Linked DNA regions of Arabidopsis thaliana. The protein of the gene in region 1 interacts with the protein of each later gene in a pairwise test. Each region holds a gene or a part of one and is shown on either strand. Other genes may lie near its edges.

Region 1 (6,788 bases):
TTAAAACCTTTTGCTCTTGCTTTCTTTAATTATTGTGTCAAACCATGATGTCTTGCATGTCTTGACCAACTCGTATCTTCATTGGCAGGTTGATTCTATTATAAAGACCCCCAAAGGTAAACAGGTAAAAGAGAACAGCAATTCTTTGGGCCAGTTGAAGAAGGTCAAAATACTGAACGAAAACCTAAAGGTACAATCAAATCAGTACAGCATGTATAAAATTTAGTTTATGGTCATTCTGAGGTGTTGCCTGTTCTTTTGGTCTAAACCAGGTATTCAAGGAAAAGAAATCGGCGAGAGAGAACTTTGTTTGTGGAGCCTGTGGTCAGGTATAATTACTTATTAGACTAGATTTTGAATCTAAACTTACTTCGTAGAGAAAAGTGTTTAATATTATCTTCATGGCCAGCATGGGCACATGAGAACCAATAAACACTGCCCAAGATACAGGGAAAATACAGAATCACAACCCGAAGGCATAGATATGGATAAGTCTGCCGGAAAACCGAGTTCTTCAGAACCATCAGGTCTGCCCAAGCTGAAACCTATTAAGAACAGCAAAGCTGCGCCAAAAAGTGCAATGAAAACTTCTGTAGATGAAGCTCTGAAGGGAGATAAGTTAAGTTCCAAAACTGGGGGTCTCCCTCTGAAGTTTAGATATGGTATCCCCGCTGGAGATTTGTCAGATAAACCTGTTTCTGAAGCTCCAGGAAGTTCTGAGCAAGCGGTGGTGTCTGACATAGACACTGGGATTAAGTCCACATCTAAGATCAGCAAACTCAAGATTTCAAGTAAGGCAAAACCTAAAGAATCAAAGGGTGAATCTGAGAGACGTTCACATTCATTGATGCCTACATTTAGCAGAGAGAGAGGGGAGAGCGAATCACACAAGCCTTCCGTCTCTGGACAACCCTTGTCTAGTACAGAGAGAAATCAGGCAGCCTCAAGCAGGCACACTATTTCTATCCCGCGGCCATCATTAAGTATGGACACAGATCAAGCTGAATCGCGTAGGCCTCATCTTGTGATACGACCACCGACAGAAAGAGAACAGCCTCAGAAGAAACTTGTTATAAAACGTTCGAAAGAGATGAATGATCATGACATGAGTAGTCTTGAAGAGAGTCCACGGTTTGAGTCCCGGAAAACAAAAAGAATGGCAGAACTGGCGGGTTTTCAGAGGCAGCAGAGCTTTAGATTGTCAGAGAATTCTCTGGAGCGGAGACCGAAAGAGGATAGAGTATGGTGGGAAGAAGAGGAGATAAGTACGGGAAGACATAGGGAAGTAAGGGCGAGAAGAGATTATGATGATATGAGTGTATCAGAAGAACCCAATGAGATAGCTGAGATCAGAAGATACGAAGAGGTAATACGGAGTGAGAGGGAGGAAGAGGAACGACAAAAAGCCAAGAAGAAAAAGAAGAAAAAGAAACTGCAACCCGAAATTGTAGAAGGGTATCTAGAAGACTATCCTCCTCGAAAAAACGATAGAAGATTGTCAGAAAGAGGTCGAAACGTCAGAAGCCGCTATGTGTCCGACTTTGAAAGAGATGGTGCAGAATATGCGCCTCAACCAAAACGACGCAAAAAAGGAGAGGTAAAATTCTCTTTGCTTCCATATTTCACTTTGTTCAGTTGAAGTAAATGCTCTATAGCCACGTAGCATGCTTTCATATGTCTACATAACCTCAACCTTTGTTTGTTTTCTCTCCTCAATTCAATTACCAACAGGTTGGCCTAGCAAACATCTTGGAACGCATAGTGGACACACTAAGACTAAAAGAAGAAGTGTCACGTCTCTTCTTGAAACCGGTATCCAAGAAGGAAGCTCCAGATTATCTTGATATCGTGGAAAACCCGATGGATCTCTCGACAATCCGAGATAAGGTACGGAAGATAGAGTACAGAAACCGAGAACAGTTTAGACACGATGTCTGGCAGATAAAGTACAATGCTCATCTTTACAACGATGGGCGTAACCCAGGAATACCACCTTTGGCAGATCAGTTACTGGAGATTTGTGATTACTTGTTGGACGATTATGAAGATCAGTTAAAAGAAGCAGAGAAAGGTATAGATCCCAATGACTGAGAAATTTGTAAGATAGAAATCTGTAACCCTTTCTTTAGGCCCCCCAAAAATGGGTTTCTTAGCTTAGTTAACTATTTTGTACGAATAGCAACATTTCCATATCCCATATCTGTGTAAAGAATCCCAAGTAATGAAAAGTAAAAAAAAAAAAAAAAAACTTCTTTTGTTGTAAAATTTAGAGGGCTTCCTTAATAGCTAGTGGATTCGATATACGGTATATCATATACCAATGAAATTTATATTTGTGTTACCTACTAAGTTCTATTTACGATAACAACCTAATGGGCTTGAATTAGGCCCATTTAGCAAAAGATAGCTTCAACACTTGAATTCCGCAACGTGAGACACAACGGGCAAGCTAAAGCTGTCCGGTCACATCCCGGGCAGATGCTCAGATGCCGACACGGCAACACAACCACCGTTGCCTCTCTTTCCCGGCAAGCTTTGCAATTCGGCCGCTTTACTCTCTCCGGATCCACGTACACCGACTCGGCGTCATCCACTCCGCTGATTGTGGTGCATAATAGCCCTTCCTCCGCCGCTCTACTATCCTGCGCCGATACACATCCACCGGCGCATTGGTTAACGGCTTGCTGGAGCTGAGACTGCAGCGACGCGGCGGCGTCTTCGTGCGCTTTAGCTCTCTCTTGCCATACTTGCACCTCCGCTCTCAGCTGCGAGTCACGTGCCACCAGCTCATTGTGACGGCGCGTGGCTCTCTCTATCTCTACCTCTTTCTCCCTCAGCTTACGAACCAACGACTCTTCCACGGCACCAAGAAGCGCTTTATAGTGCATCTTCCTCTTCTCCGCTAATGTACGCCGTAGCTCCTCCGCCTATACAAAAGAAAAAAAGTTTTACACTTTTTCCGATGAGAACAAAATCAAAACTTTTGCGTAACCCAAATCGTCTCGTACGAAATCAAAACCTGGGCATGAAGAAACTCATCAAGTTCTTCGCTTTGCCTATTGATATGTGCAGCAAAAACATCTTCAGACAGGTGACTAATCTTTTGTGCCTGATCTTCGCCGGAAAATAATCGGAGTCCTGTATGAACCATATTCGACGGTGGATGATTGTAGTTGTGTAATAGAGATAAGTCTATAACTTGAGGAAACTGATGAGACTGCATAGGTAATAACTGATGATTGTTCGTTTCTCTTCTTCTTTTTCTCTGATTAGAACCTATAATAAGAGACATACACACACATTCTCATTTTGTCTCCTAATTTTGGTAAATTTTAATGGAAAAAACAAGAGAACTTTTACGAACTTCCATTGTTGAATAACATATTGGTTTGATCAAGAAAATCTCCAGCTGCTTGTGATTGTAATGTAAAATTACTATGTTCTTTCTCTTTCCCGTTTCTGTTCACACAAAGAAACATAAAACCGTAATCAATAAGCAAAACTAAAAGCAAATAATGAATTTACAGAGAGAAAATGAACCTTTTATTGAGGAAGAGGAGATTGGAGGAATGGTGTTGAGCTTGAACTGCCATTTTAATGATACAAAAGCTATATGATGATGTGATCTTAAGGTATTTGAACTCTGTCTCTGTTTTCTTCTGCACCTTTCACTCTCTCTTTAAATGTCTATAAATATAGGTTTAATAATAGTGTTTCTTTAGGGTTGGGTTTGTTCGTTTTGGTTCTCTTCTTCTTAATATGCTTTGGCTTTTTCTTTAGGATTCTCTCTCTCTCTCTCGTGTCTTCAACCACGCCATTACTCTTGCATATTCCAAGAAAAAAACAACCAAAAATAAAGTGAATTTAAATGACGGAAATCGATATTTCTACAGTTTATTCGGTGACCAAGTTTTTGTTTGGATAGTGGTTGTTTTAAAACATGTAGTGTACTACAAAATCTTTTAATTTCTTACTTAAAAAGGTAAATTTAAATATAGTATTTTTTTCAATTTAAGAAGTTTGGAATTTTTTGCACATTGTCTATTTTACTAAACAAAAGGTTTGCTTAGCAAAAATAAAATAAAATGAAATGCTTGTCGCTAATCATAAGTCATAACATGTGTATGTGTGAGACTTGCTTGATTTCTTTCCTTAGCACACTAGTTAACATAATTACATCATTAGACAGCAACTTCTTCCCACCTTTTTTTATATAATAGGATTCGTTTATCTTGAATATTACACTCTCTTTTTGTTGTTGTTGATAGTTTGGTGACATTAATTATTCTTGGTTTTTCATCTCTTTTACTTTTTAAGTAATGGATACTATATATCATAATCCATAAGCAATCTGGTTAAAGTTAACAAAAACACATTAGTAGCGAATCCGGAAAGATGTAAAAGAATAATTTATCAGTAAATATATTTTTTATTCTATCTGAGAAAAAAATCATTAATCATGTAGATTCTAATTTCAAATATATAATAAAGCATGCAAAATAAATAAATTAATTAAAAATTTAACTAAGAAGTTTCAGATTTAAACCCATAATCTCTTCTAAAAAATGAATAATACATATCAATTTAGTTTCTTTTTCACCAACGGTGAAATCGACATTTTTTTTTATTTTTTGGAACTTCGGATGGTACATTGATGAAGCTACCAAAACCAAGTACTAAATGTGTTACGTATTATATAACTTTTTAAAATAAATACATAATAAAAATTAATATTGAAAATGATTACACAATTATCTTACAATTAAAAATTGTTACACCAACCCTTCGTAGAAATATTAGGTGGTAACAAAAATAAATTAATGATTATTGAGAGCTTAACTTATAATGAGCTCATTTGAGTTGTTTGATCCTCAAGTCCCAACCACCAACCCATAACCCATTCAACATGTTTCCAGTTGGTTTGCATAATGTAAATGAATACTACACACACGAGACAACCACAACATGCATATATGAATAAGATATATATGGTTGAAATTGGAAACAAACTAAACGTTATTTTTACTTTTTAGTTCCACAAAAACTTTTGGATATGTTTTGATCAATAGTGGAATTGGGGCAGCAAAACAAAACTAGAATCTAAGAGTTTGGTTTTAGTCGTTTTCAAATATACGTGTTGAAAGTGGCCTATGGATGGATGGATTCATTTTTTTCCAAAAAAACAAACCGGTCTAATTAGACTGAGCGGTTATCCAATACCAAACCAAACCAACTATTTATTAAGTCAAAGGTAATCCAATGAGCAATTTCAAATCTAACAAAGCAACAACACACAGTGAAAAAAATCCAATGAGATAGAATCAACAGCTTTATCCATGGCTGAGTTCTAATATCTAAATGATGCTCAACACTACTTTACAAGAATCTCTTGAGTCTTTGGAGTCTTCAGGATCAGTTTTGAGGGATGTTTGATCATTGTACAATACCGTGGTCACGAAGGATCTAGAAATTTTCTTGCCACTCAAACTTTTCAGTTCATCCACAGGATGTTCTCGACTTCACAACATTCCAACTTTGTCAAAAGATTGGAGATTCTCAGCGATTTTTTGAAGTGCTTCTTCACTCATCTCAACTTTTCGGACTACACCCGGAAAGATCTTGTTCTTCTCGGAAGCAGCAGTGGGAGAAACTTGACCACAGAGCTTTGATTTCATCTCTAAGCAAGATTTGAGATCCTCTTCGGTTCTTGCTTTGTTCAGTTTATCGATTATTTCATTCAAAGCTGAACCTTTCTCTTCCCATTTCTTTCTTTTGACCCGCCTTTTGATATCATCTTGATCATCTGAAGAACTGCCTAAATCCAGTCTCTTAAGCTTCACCAAACCGGCTTTGACTGTCTCCGCGATCCGCTTCTTAAAGCTCTCTGTTCTTGCAGAGTTCGATCTCAGCCTCAGTTTAAGCTCTGAAACAATATTTTCCTCTTTGTTTTGCTCAGGAGCTGCTGTTCCATGACTCTCTTCATCAGGAACAGATGTAAATGAAAATGCTTCTTCGAGTAAATTCACATTACTCATGTACCGATCAAAAGCTTCATTTTCTACTTCAATGTTTCTGTCTCTGTACTCTTTTAGCTTTGTAAACCGCCACTCGTTTAAAGCTTGAGCATCCTATAGAATATAGACAGAACAAAAACTGATAAGAGGAAAACAACTAAATGGAGATTTTTCATAGAGTACTAAAGTCAATGAAAGACGTCTTAATTAGTATACCTTTATCGTCAAAGGTTTTCTCTGGCGGGAAGAAGCATTCAGGTTATTAAACTGAGCAAAGTTGCTAGAAAGTTGCCGGATTGACGAAACTCTAGTGGTACTCCTGAAACAATTTCCAAAAGAAGAAAACGTCAACATAAAGCGCCATATTTTAGTTCCACAAGACCAATATATCATCTCACTATCAACTACGTGCAATAAAACAAGAAAGCTGAAGAATCTCCTATCAAAGTATTAGTAAGCAAACACCGGTTTATCATCTAAGATTCACTTGCCCATGGAAGCACAAACAAAACAGAAAATTAGTTTATATATATGTACCCGGGAGTGCCCTCGGTTGCTTTCTGCTCTGAAGATGGAGTACTTGGCGCCTGCGTCTTCTCACCAGACGTTGAAGCTACTTTAAGAACTGCAGCGAAATAAAACACATAAGAAGAAACACAAAACAGTCCATGATAACATCTCTATATCTCTCAGCTAATCACAAGCACATTCCAAGAATCAGTCTTATGGTTCTTTATAGGTTTTTTTGTCCCGAGACAACCAAACGAACCCTAT
Region 2 (8,940 bases), on another chromosome or scaffold:
GTCATCATTCATACTTATATAAGTAATCGACAAATGCATATTCGATTGGCTACTCAATTGTTTGATTGTTGGTTGTGGCTTTGTGTTTCAGGTTCAATGGCCACTATCTATTGTCATATCAAAGAAAGCATTGTCAAAGTACCAGTTAATTTTCCGCTTTCTTTTTCATTGCAAACATGTGGAACGCCAGCTTTGTGGTGCTTGGCAGATACATCAAGTAAGGACTGATATAATATTGTGTAGCTTGTAATTTGTTTCAGTTTTGGTTTCTTCTAAAACCATTTTAATCATTTTGCTTCGCTAACAAACTGCTGTGAAAATTCTACAGGGGATTCGGTCTATGAACTCTAAGGGTACAGCAATTCTTAGATCATCGCTTCTCTGCCGTAGCATGCTTAAATTCATCAGTAGCCTTCTACATTATCTTACATTCGAGGCAAGTCTGAATGTTCTTTTTGTTTTGTTTTGTTTGTTTTTTAAAACATTTTTTTTTGCTAATAGAATGGAATCTGAATATTTTTTTGTTTTTTAAAGATTCTGATTGTCTATTCATAGATCCTGTTTTCCATTGTGATTTTGCGGTGTAAGTCTCTGGAAAACTAACTTCTAGAATTGCTGACATACACTCTGTATATTGAATCCAGATATCTCTGTAGTCGTAAAAACCATACTTACAAATGTAGGCACTTCTTGCAACTGTGTTTTTCGAGAAATACATTCTTGAAAACGTGATTCTGGAGAAATAAGTACACTATCAATGAACAGAGGAGAGAAATCACACCAGAAGTATATAAAGACATAATTCTTTATGAGATGATTTGGTGTTTATTTTAGCAACTATTGCCTCTCTAAGTTTTTCTAATGTTGTTTTTGCTTGTCTTTATGTGGGATGTCTCTTCAGGTTCTCGAACCAAATTGGCATGTAATGCACGATAGACTACAATCCACAAGGAGTGTAGATGAGGTAAGTGTAGAGACCTGCTTTGTTTTGGTTTGCAGGGAAAACATTCTTCATTGAACAATGTGCCATCATCTTGCAGGTGATACAACATCACGACTTTTTTCTTGATAAATGTCTGAGAGGATGCTTGCTTCTTTTACCTGACGTCCTTAAGGTTTGTCGCTGTTCCACTAAATGTTATGTTTTCTCAGGACAGATGTAACAGTGTGATGTGCTTCTCTTTCGTGCAACAAGAGCAAAAATTCTGAACGCACTAATAATAGTGTAATGTTTATCAATATTTTACACTCATATTTACTGATGGTGCAGAAAATGGAGAAGTTGAAATCAGTGTGTCTGCAATATGCTGCAGCCACACAGTGGTTGATATCATCGTCTATCGACATCAATAGCCAGTCTCATCCACAGAAGACAATGATAAGAGACACAACCGTTACAGAGTCCATATTGTAAGTAGTAACAAGGAATTGTTTTTCAAACTAATGGCTACACTATCTCTACAAAAGCCGTTGCTGTTAGAATTTTTGAACTTCATTATCACGGTATTGTTCTAATATGTCTGTTACGTGTTCTACCAGCAATTTCGAAAGGGAGTTCAACTCGGAGTTGCAGAGCTTAGGACCAGTCTTGAGCAAAGGCTCCCAGGCTGAGCCATACTTGACTCATCTCTCCCAGTGGATCCTTGGTGTTTCGAAAGAATAAGAGGTGAGACTTTAACTAAACAAACTCAGGCAATTCAATTTGTTTTTTAATGTTATCAAATGATATTCAGCTTGAGAAGTTGTTATGAGATGTGTGCGTGTGTTTAGGCTTTTGTTGTCGTTTCTTTATTTTGTTTGTGAACTCCACGATATAAGAACAAGTCTCAGGCTCTCTGTTAAAAATTTGCATTCAAGATTTGTGGGTTTTCACTGCAACTACATGTCTCTTGAGGGAAGTATCTGTGAATCTTTTACTGTGTAACTAAAAAGTAGTTTTGTTCAAATTTTCTTACAATGCATTACTCGCTCACAATAAACCCAGATCCATCTGTTTTACTGGCTAATATACAATAAACAAAATCCAATTATGCAATCCAAAGAGAGAAGTGAAAACACTCTCGACAAAGTACAGAAAAAGTTTCAGAAGACGAAAAAGATTTTGCTTCAGCAGTTGATGCCACACTTGGAAGTGTCAGGTCCTTTGGTCTTGAGCACAAAAGGATCAATTCTTACCCAAAGCAAAGAGAAGATAGATGCCAATAACACTGACCAAATCACCACAATGGTTGGTGTTCTGTTCTGTCTACCCATCAGACCTTTGAGGAATGGGTAGAGATGAACAATGACCCAAAAGGAGAAGAAGAGTTTACCAAATAGAGGTCCCCAAGACTGATATCCATTGTTAATGGCATCTGAGATGCCTGCAACAACGCCAACAATGTTTATGATTAAGACAGTTGTTGGAGGGATCAGCAGTGTTGTCCATTTGAATGCGTAAAGTTCTCCAAAGTCATCATCATCTGTTGCCTTTGATGTGACGGTGAAGTTTGTGTCAATGCCTGCTAAGATTTTGAGGAGACCTTGGACAACCGCAAAGAGATGAGCTGAGATTCCTCCAATGACCCAGAATTGCTCGTTTCTCCACCATTCCTCAATGCTAACTCCGCTCCATCTCAATTCCAAGATTCCCGTTACAATGATCGACATAAACAGTGAGATGAAGAAGAGACTAGCAAATGTGCTTATCTGAAAGAAAAATTGGGAAAACAGATAGTTAGCACATTTGATGCAGCTTCTAAGTGCTTTTCTCTGATAATTTTACTAACCGGTGGCATGATGAATTTGTCAGTAAGGAGACAGATGGCTGGAAGGATACAGTAGGCAAGAAGTGGTATAGATGTGAAGGGGTAGATTGTTGTGTTGGCATAAGCAAAACGCTCAAGCCACTTGAGTTTGCCTCCTTTGTAGCCATACCAGAGAGGACTGTGCCGGCTGAAAAATATCTCAACCGATCCAAGTGCCCAACGCAAAACCTGGTTTAACCTGTCTGATAGATTAATAGGAGCTGAACCTTTGAATGCAGGCCTCTTAGGCATGCAGTAAATAGACCTCCATCCACGGCAATGCATCTTGAATCCCGTCAAAATATCCTCTGTGATAGAGCCATAGATCCAACCCAGCTGCAATTTCGAGATACACAAACGTTTTTTACAATGGCCAGCTACTAAATCACAAATAAGAAGGTGATTTCTACGATTCAGTATTATTACCTCAGTTCCCCACTCAGTCTTGTCTTCATAACCGCAGCTTATGACATGGATTGCCTCTTTAAGGAGCACTGCAGGACTTGATGACGGAGGAACACCACCTTCTTCCATCAAAGTTGAGGTTACAAAGATGGATGATTGCCCAAATGTTTTCTCAAAGTTCATTTCAGACATCAAATGCTCCTTATCACCTTCTGCTCCTGCCAAAAAACACTATCAGATCCGCAAGATTCCAACATAAACGAAATCTACTGCAAGAATGGACTGATATTATAAGGTTGTTGGGATAATTTACCTCCAAGGGCTGCTACGTCACCATTCATGTCATTCTTGGAAAATTTCTTATTCTTTCTCCGGCGCCCAAAGCAAGGACAACAACCACAGCTTATCATCTTTGGACGTTTAGGACCCTTTGGTGGTTCATAACCATACAGAGCTTGTCGTTTGAAAACACAACCAGTACCAACGTAAACTGGACCTTGGATTCCATCTAGACCTTTCATATTGATCTGTAGCAAACAAGAGTGTAAGCAAGAGGGTACATTTTCATTTAGACCAGAAGTTGGAAAAATATGAATTGAGTCTTACATCAAAGAAGACTGTGTTTCTGTTGGCGTAACGATCGTTTGTGTCAATGCCATCAAACCTTTGAGGGAACTGAACATAGCAGACCTTCTTTCCAATCTGAGGATCCATCAAAAAACACATTGCTTCCCTCACGGCCTTGCTGTTGTTTACATAGTGATCACAGTCCAAGTTCAGCATGAAAGGAGCATTTGTGAGTACGCCTGCCACTCGAACCTGACAGAAGTATCAGGTTAGGTCCAAGACACGGAGATCAGTTTCTTGTTTGGTCCAAGGCAGATCAAGAAAATTACCAGGGCATTCATGGCGCCAGCTTTCTTGTGGTGTTGAAAACCAGGACGCTTCTCACGGGACACGTACACAAGCCGAGGAAGCTCATGCCCTTCGACATCAAATCCTCCGCTGTGGCCGAGGAAGACTTGGATCATACCGGGGTGGTCCTTGGTGTTGTTCCCTGGCCACGGTGTTCCATCTTGCATGATCCAACCTTCTAGAGGAACCTTTGAGGCCTTCGCCACTTGAGCGTTGATCCTGACCTTGAACTCCTCATATTCTCTCTGTCATATGTCAATTTCACTTATGAAGTTTAGATTATAGTGAAAAGATGGGTGGTGGTATAACTAGATCAGGTGATATACACTGACCTTCATGGCTCGACGTTCCTTAACAAATGTTGGGTGGACTTTGTCCTGGAGATAATCAACTTTCAACGTGAAGTACATCTCCGGTGCCCGTGGCTCTATGGAGAATTTCTTACAGAAGGGAACCCATTTTCTTGCAAACTCAGCAGTTTCCGAGAGAGATTCGAATGTAAGCATTGAAGCACCGTCGTCAGAGACATAGCAGGAGATTTTCTCAACTGGGTAGTCCATGGCCAAGATTGACAGCACAGTGTTGGATGTGACGAGGGGAGGCTCCTTCAATGGGTCCACCGTACTGACAAAGACATCTACAGGGGCAAGCATATTTGGTTCACCTTCTCTCTCGTACCTGTATAAACAAAAAATATTTACATCCAAACTCCAACGTCATAGATTTTAAGACTTCTACTTGAGAATCTGTGGATTTTACCTGAGGGAAAGCCGATCTAGATAGGTCTCACGTTCAATAGGGAACCACTTGGGGAACTGATCAAGAATCCAAGAGACAGCGAACCAGATTTCACAGATCACAGAGGTCAGCCATAATCCCAGAGCATCATGCACTGGATTCAAGAGCCTATACCGCAGAAAAACTGCTAGAATCACAAGCCTAGCGACGATGACCATCCGATATGGATTGATCTTGCTTGAGGCAATGGGAACTTTCCGCGAGAGTGGCTGCCGTGCCTCGTCGATCCTACAGCCATTTCCAGTCAAATCCAAAATTTTGTAAGCATGAATCCAAATCATACAAAACTGATGTCTTAGATAAATGTTTGTGGAGGCATTACAGTCCCATCTCAGGATCATCATCTGGTTCTGGCCCAAGATTTCCATGCTGGAGCTTCCAGTCATCCATTCTTTCCCGCCATCCTCCCTCACTCCCTACCACATTAAAATTACACACATAAACAAAAAGGAAAGTATTGTTAGAAAAAGGGTCTGCTGATGAATTTCATAGAAAGAATGTAATAGAACCCAAAGTCCATGTTTATGAAACTATGTCCCTATCTACTATTAAGCTGGAAGGCCTCATACTTATGTTATTTGCACATATGGAGATATGCATGACCCTAACTAATCATCACTGTGAGACATTCTTAAATCTATATGTAAGTTAACATTTCCATGAGACTCACCAGCTTCAGATGATGGATATGGGTGCACACGCTTATGAAGCCCATGTTCTCCATTACCATAACCTCCTCCAACTGGAAATTCTCCACTATGACCACCAGCTATAACAGGTGGGAATCTCCCATTCTCATCATCCTCAGGACCTCTTCCATAGCTCATTTTCCCATAAAGCATAGCCTCAGCAGAATGCTTATGCTTATCTTGTTCATGTTCGATATTAAATTCATACTCAATATCATCAATATCTTCTTCGTCTTCATCTCCCTCCACTCTTGGGCTTCCTTCAGAAACCAAAAAACAGATCATTACTCTCCAAGTTCAAACTAAAAAAAGGAACAGCCTTTTTAAATTTTCATAGAGGCATTTCGTCGAACAACACAAGAGCAGAGGGAGATTAATAAATAACTTACCTCTGAGACGCTTGTAACGAGTCTTACACTGAGGACAGTTTTGTGTTCCTTCTCTTCTCTCGTACTCATAGCAAGGTCTACACGCCGGAAAACCACACTCATTGCAAGCTACGAAGAGGTCTCCTTCTACTGTTAAACCAATCTGATCTCCACATATCTCACAGAATTGTCCATCTAGATTCTTCAGAGGCTTTGGCTGTTATAATTACACAAAAGTTTAAGTTCCTTAAAGACGAAATAAAACCTGAAATTTCTAATCAACAAAAAAAGATTCTAATGAAGTAAAGATAATAAAAAAAATGACAGCGATTAAAATGGTTAAACCTGACTTCTCAACTTAATATTACCAACAAAATTATTATGTTTGCTAACAAAGATATGAATTTTCTACAACATTATTGCAACTACAGAATACAGATTATAAATTTTTGTCTCATAATAAGAAGATGATTTTAAAAAATGATCATATTTTTATTCCCAAAACATACGAATTTTTAAAAAATAGTAACCAAATAAAACGAAAAAATGCAATAATATTTTACTAGCGTTGGTAAAAAAAAACTTTGGTAAGTGATGAGAAAAAGTAAATGTGAAAAACCTCTTCATGGTTGTGAATGACGACTAGTTCATTACGGTTATGAGAACCGGCGACAAGACCGGCGCTAGCTTCCATAGGGACGGCCGGAGATTAGCAGCGATCTTGAGAGAACAAAACGGTGATCAATGAGAGACGAATAAGTTTGGTTTTTATGTGTGAAAAGCTTTTAGTTTCTCTCTCTGTATGGTACATAGTTTGTTGTAGAGTCTCCATTGCCTTCAAGCTAAGCTTTCGTTTTATATTATTTCTTTTTTGTAAAAACAACTGTTTTAGTAAAAATTTCTACACAACTGCAACAAACTCATCACTCACATCCATCAGCTGATGACATGTCTTTCTTTCATCGTCGCGGTTTCCTTAAGCTTCTCTTTTTTATCCTTTGCAGGTCTCTCTCATTTTACTTACTGTCCTAATCTCATTTCCTTCTGTTTTCATTATACTAATTATATATGTTCATTTTATTCAAAAGGATCCTATTATTTTACCCTTTAACAAAAAAAAAACTATATACAGTATATGCATGCTGATAATTCGTAAATATAATAAATCTGGTATCTTATTATATAAAGTGATCGGCCAAAATACTAGTAATTTTGAATTAAAATTAGTTAGGGGGTAAGGTTTGGTGAGAGGAGTGCAAGCCAAGTTACGTTCCCTGTCCTTAATTAGGTGAATTTTCTGCATACATAAGCTAAAGAGAATGTAAAGATCATATATGCCTTTGATCTTCTTCACCCTTTCTTGTTCATTCTGTTTCCATGACAATTCCTCTGCGCCAATCCTTTTTCTTTTGGAGTCTGCGGATAAAGATCTAGTCCATGGGACTAGGCAGGTTCAGAAGCACAACGGGCTGGGCCTTGACCAGCCATGGTTGTTTCCAAATACAAAACAAATCGAATCAAGTGGGCAGCTACTTGAATTCTGTTAACATCGAAACCAGAATTTTGAGTCTCTTGCACCTATCAATACAAAACCAAAAAAAAAAAAAACTTATGATTCGGAAACAAACAACAATTTTATAGTTATACAACTAAATTAGACTACACTAATAAATAAATAAAATGATCCTCAATCTGAAAATTTTATCCAAATAATCGAAACTATGAAAAAAGTTATAAGAAAATTACCCAAAAAAAGGAAAAAGAAAAACAGAATCAAACTGTTCGCAACATACAAAGCAAACAACTAAAAGATCTTTTACTTATTTTTCTAAGTGTCGTTCCAAACTGAAAACGTTGGAGCCCCTTCTCCACCACCTTCCCCGTGAAAGTACATGTTAGAGCTATGGTTATTCGAAATCGCCACCGGAAAATCTCCTCCCGGCGACTGCTGAATCTGCTGTTGTTGCTGATGCTGAGCATAGTAATAATGATTTCTTGCGTTGTAAGCAATCTCAGCAGCAGTAAAGGGATCGTAATTAACCGATGTTCCAACAGGGATTGCGAATCCTTGATAACCACCATAACTAACAACATTTCCACAAACGGTAACAGAATCATCAGAGGTCGAGCTATGATGATCAACATTAGTCATGTGACTCGGCGAGTTTCTCAAGAAGTGTTGTTGTTCCTCCTCTTGTTTGAAACAAACCCTAGTACTCTCGGTAGACAAGTTTCCTCCATTGTAATAACCAACGTACCTCTCCTGCTGTTGCTGCAATAAGCTCAAATCCATTCCCTGATGATGCTGAAACGCAGTGTTTTGCCAACCGCTAACATTATTTGCACTCTCTGAAACGTTATTACTAATCATCATAGCTGGAACCGGATTATTAACGTCCTTGAGACGTTTCGCAGAACTACCAATAGGTAGACTCGGGCTCTCGAGGATTGCTTTAACATTGTATCTGTTCATGTCGAAGTTAGTCACTGCGCTTAATCCTCTGAATTTAATGGCTGCAATGTCATAAGCCTCAGCAGCCTCTTCCTGTGTGCCTACATAATTTGTATGATTCACTTAGATATATTTGTGTATATTTAATATCTTATAGTATATAGATTTTATTGGAAAATGTACCGAAAGTTCCCAAGTAGAGGTCTTTGTTACCGGCGACTCTTCCGATCCTAGCTTGCCACCTTCCATGTTGGTGATGCCTTTTGGAACCATTTTAAAGGAAATATTAATTAGATTAGATTAATAGTATTGTATGACAATTATTATGTATACATCAAAAAAAATAATGAAACACTGTATTCGTTCCATATCTAGATGGATTATACGTACCTTGTTACTCCTCGATAAATCGATGCACCACGAGAGAAACCACTACTTTTCCTGCATATTTACATGTTTCTTATATCTTTCCAAATAATGATTTATTCAATGTTACGATATATTTTAATAAATATATACGTGATGGG

The links. Proteins that work in one complex are often made in the same cells at the same time.
Region 2: the proteins of AT1G32740 (region 1) and IRX3 interact in a protein complementation assay, tested with the Arabidopsis thaliana proteins (one large-scale study listed by BioGRID).

The regions. Positions count from the first base shown.
Region 1 is NC_003070.9:11,841,688-11,848,475, reverse strand, and holds AT1G32740 (SBP (S-ribonuclease binding protein) family protein), read right to left. Parts: upstream 3,817-6,788; 5' UTR 3,594-3,816; coding exon 3,541-3,593; exon of another isoform or gene 3,480-3,540; coding exon of another isoform or gene 3,460-3,479; coding exon 3,365-3,459; exon of another isoform or gene 3,293-3,364; coding exon of another isoform or gene 3,277-3,292; coding exon 3,020-3,276; intron 2,928-3,019; coding exon 2,394-2,927; 3' UTR 2,129-2,393; downstream 1-2,128. Other genes in the region: HAF01 (HAC13 protein (HAC13)), read left to right, coding at 89-190, 273-329, 410-1,597, 1,732-2,091; AT1G32730 (electron carrier/iron ion-binding protein), read right to left, coding at 5,520-6,128, 6,231-6,333, 6,552-6,639.
Region 2 is NC_003076.8:5,734,753-5,743,692, forward strand, and holds IRX3 (Cellulose synthase family protein), read right to left. Parts: upstream 6,749-8,940; 5' UTR 6,656-6,748; coding exon 6,581-6,655; intron 6,179-6,580; coding exon 5,983-6,178; intron 5,854-5,982; coding exon 5,575-5,853; intron 5,321-5,574; coding exon 5,227-5,320; intron 5,133-5,226; coding exon 4,866-5,132; intron 4,785-4,865; coding exon 4,439-4,784; intron 4,352-4,438; coding exon 4,088-4,351; intron 4,011-4,087; coding exon 3,798-4,010; intron 3,719-3,797; coding exon 3,505-3,718; intron 3,410-3,504; coding exon 3,213-3,409; intron 3,123-3,212; coding exon 2,769-3,122; intron 2,689-2,768; coding exon 2,107-2,688; 3' UTR 1,878-2,106; downstream 1-1,877. Other genes in the region: AT5G17410 (Spc97 / Spc98 family of spindle pole body (SBP) component), read left to right, coding at 92-217, 329-436, 902-964, 1,041-1,115, 1,271-1,410, 1,540-1,663; BBM (Integrase-type DNA-binding superfamily protein), read right to left, coding at 7,790-8,514, 8,597-8,673, 8,804-8,854.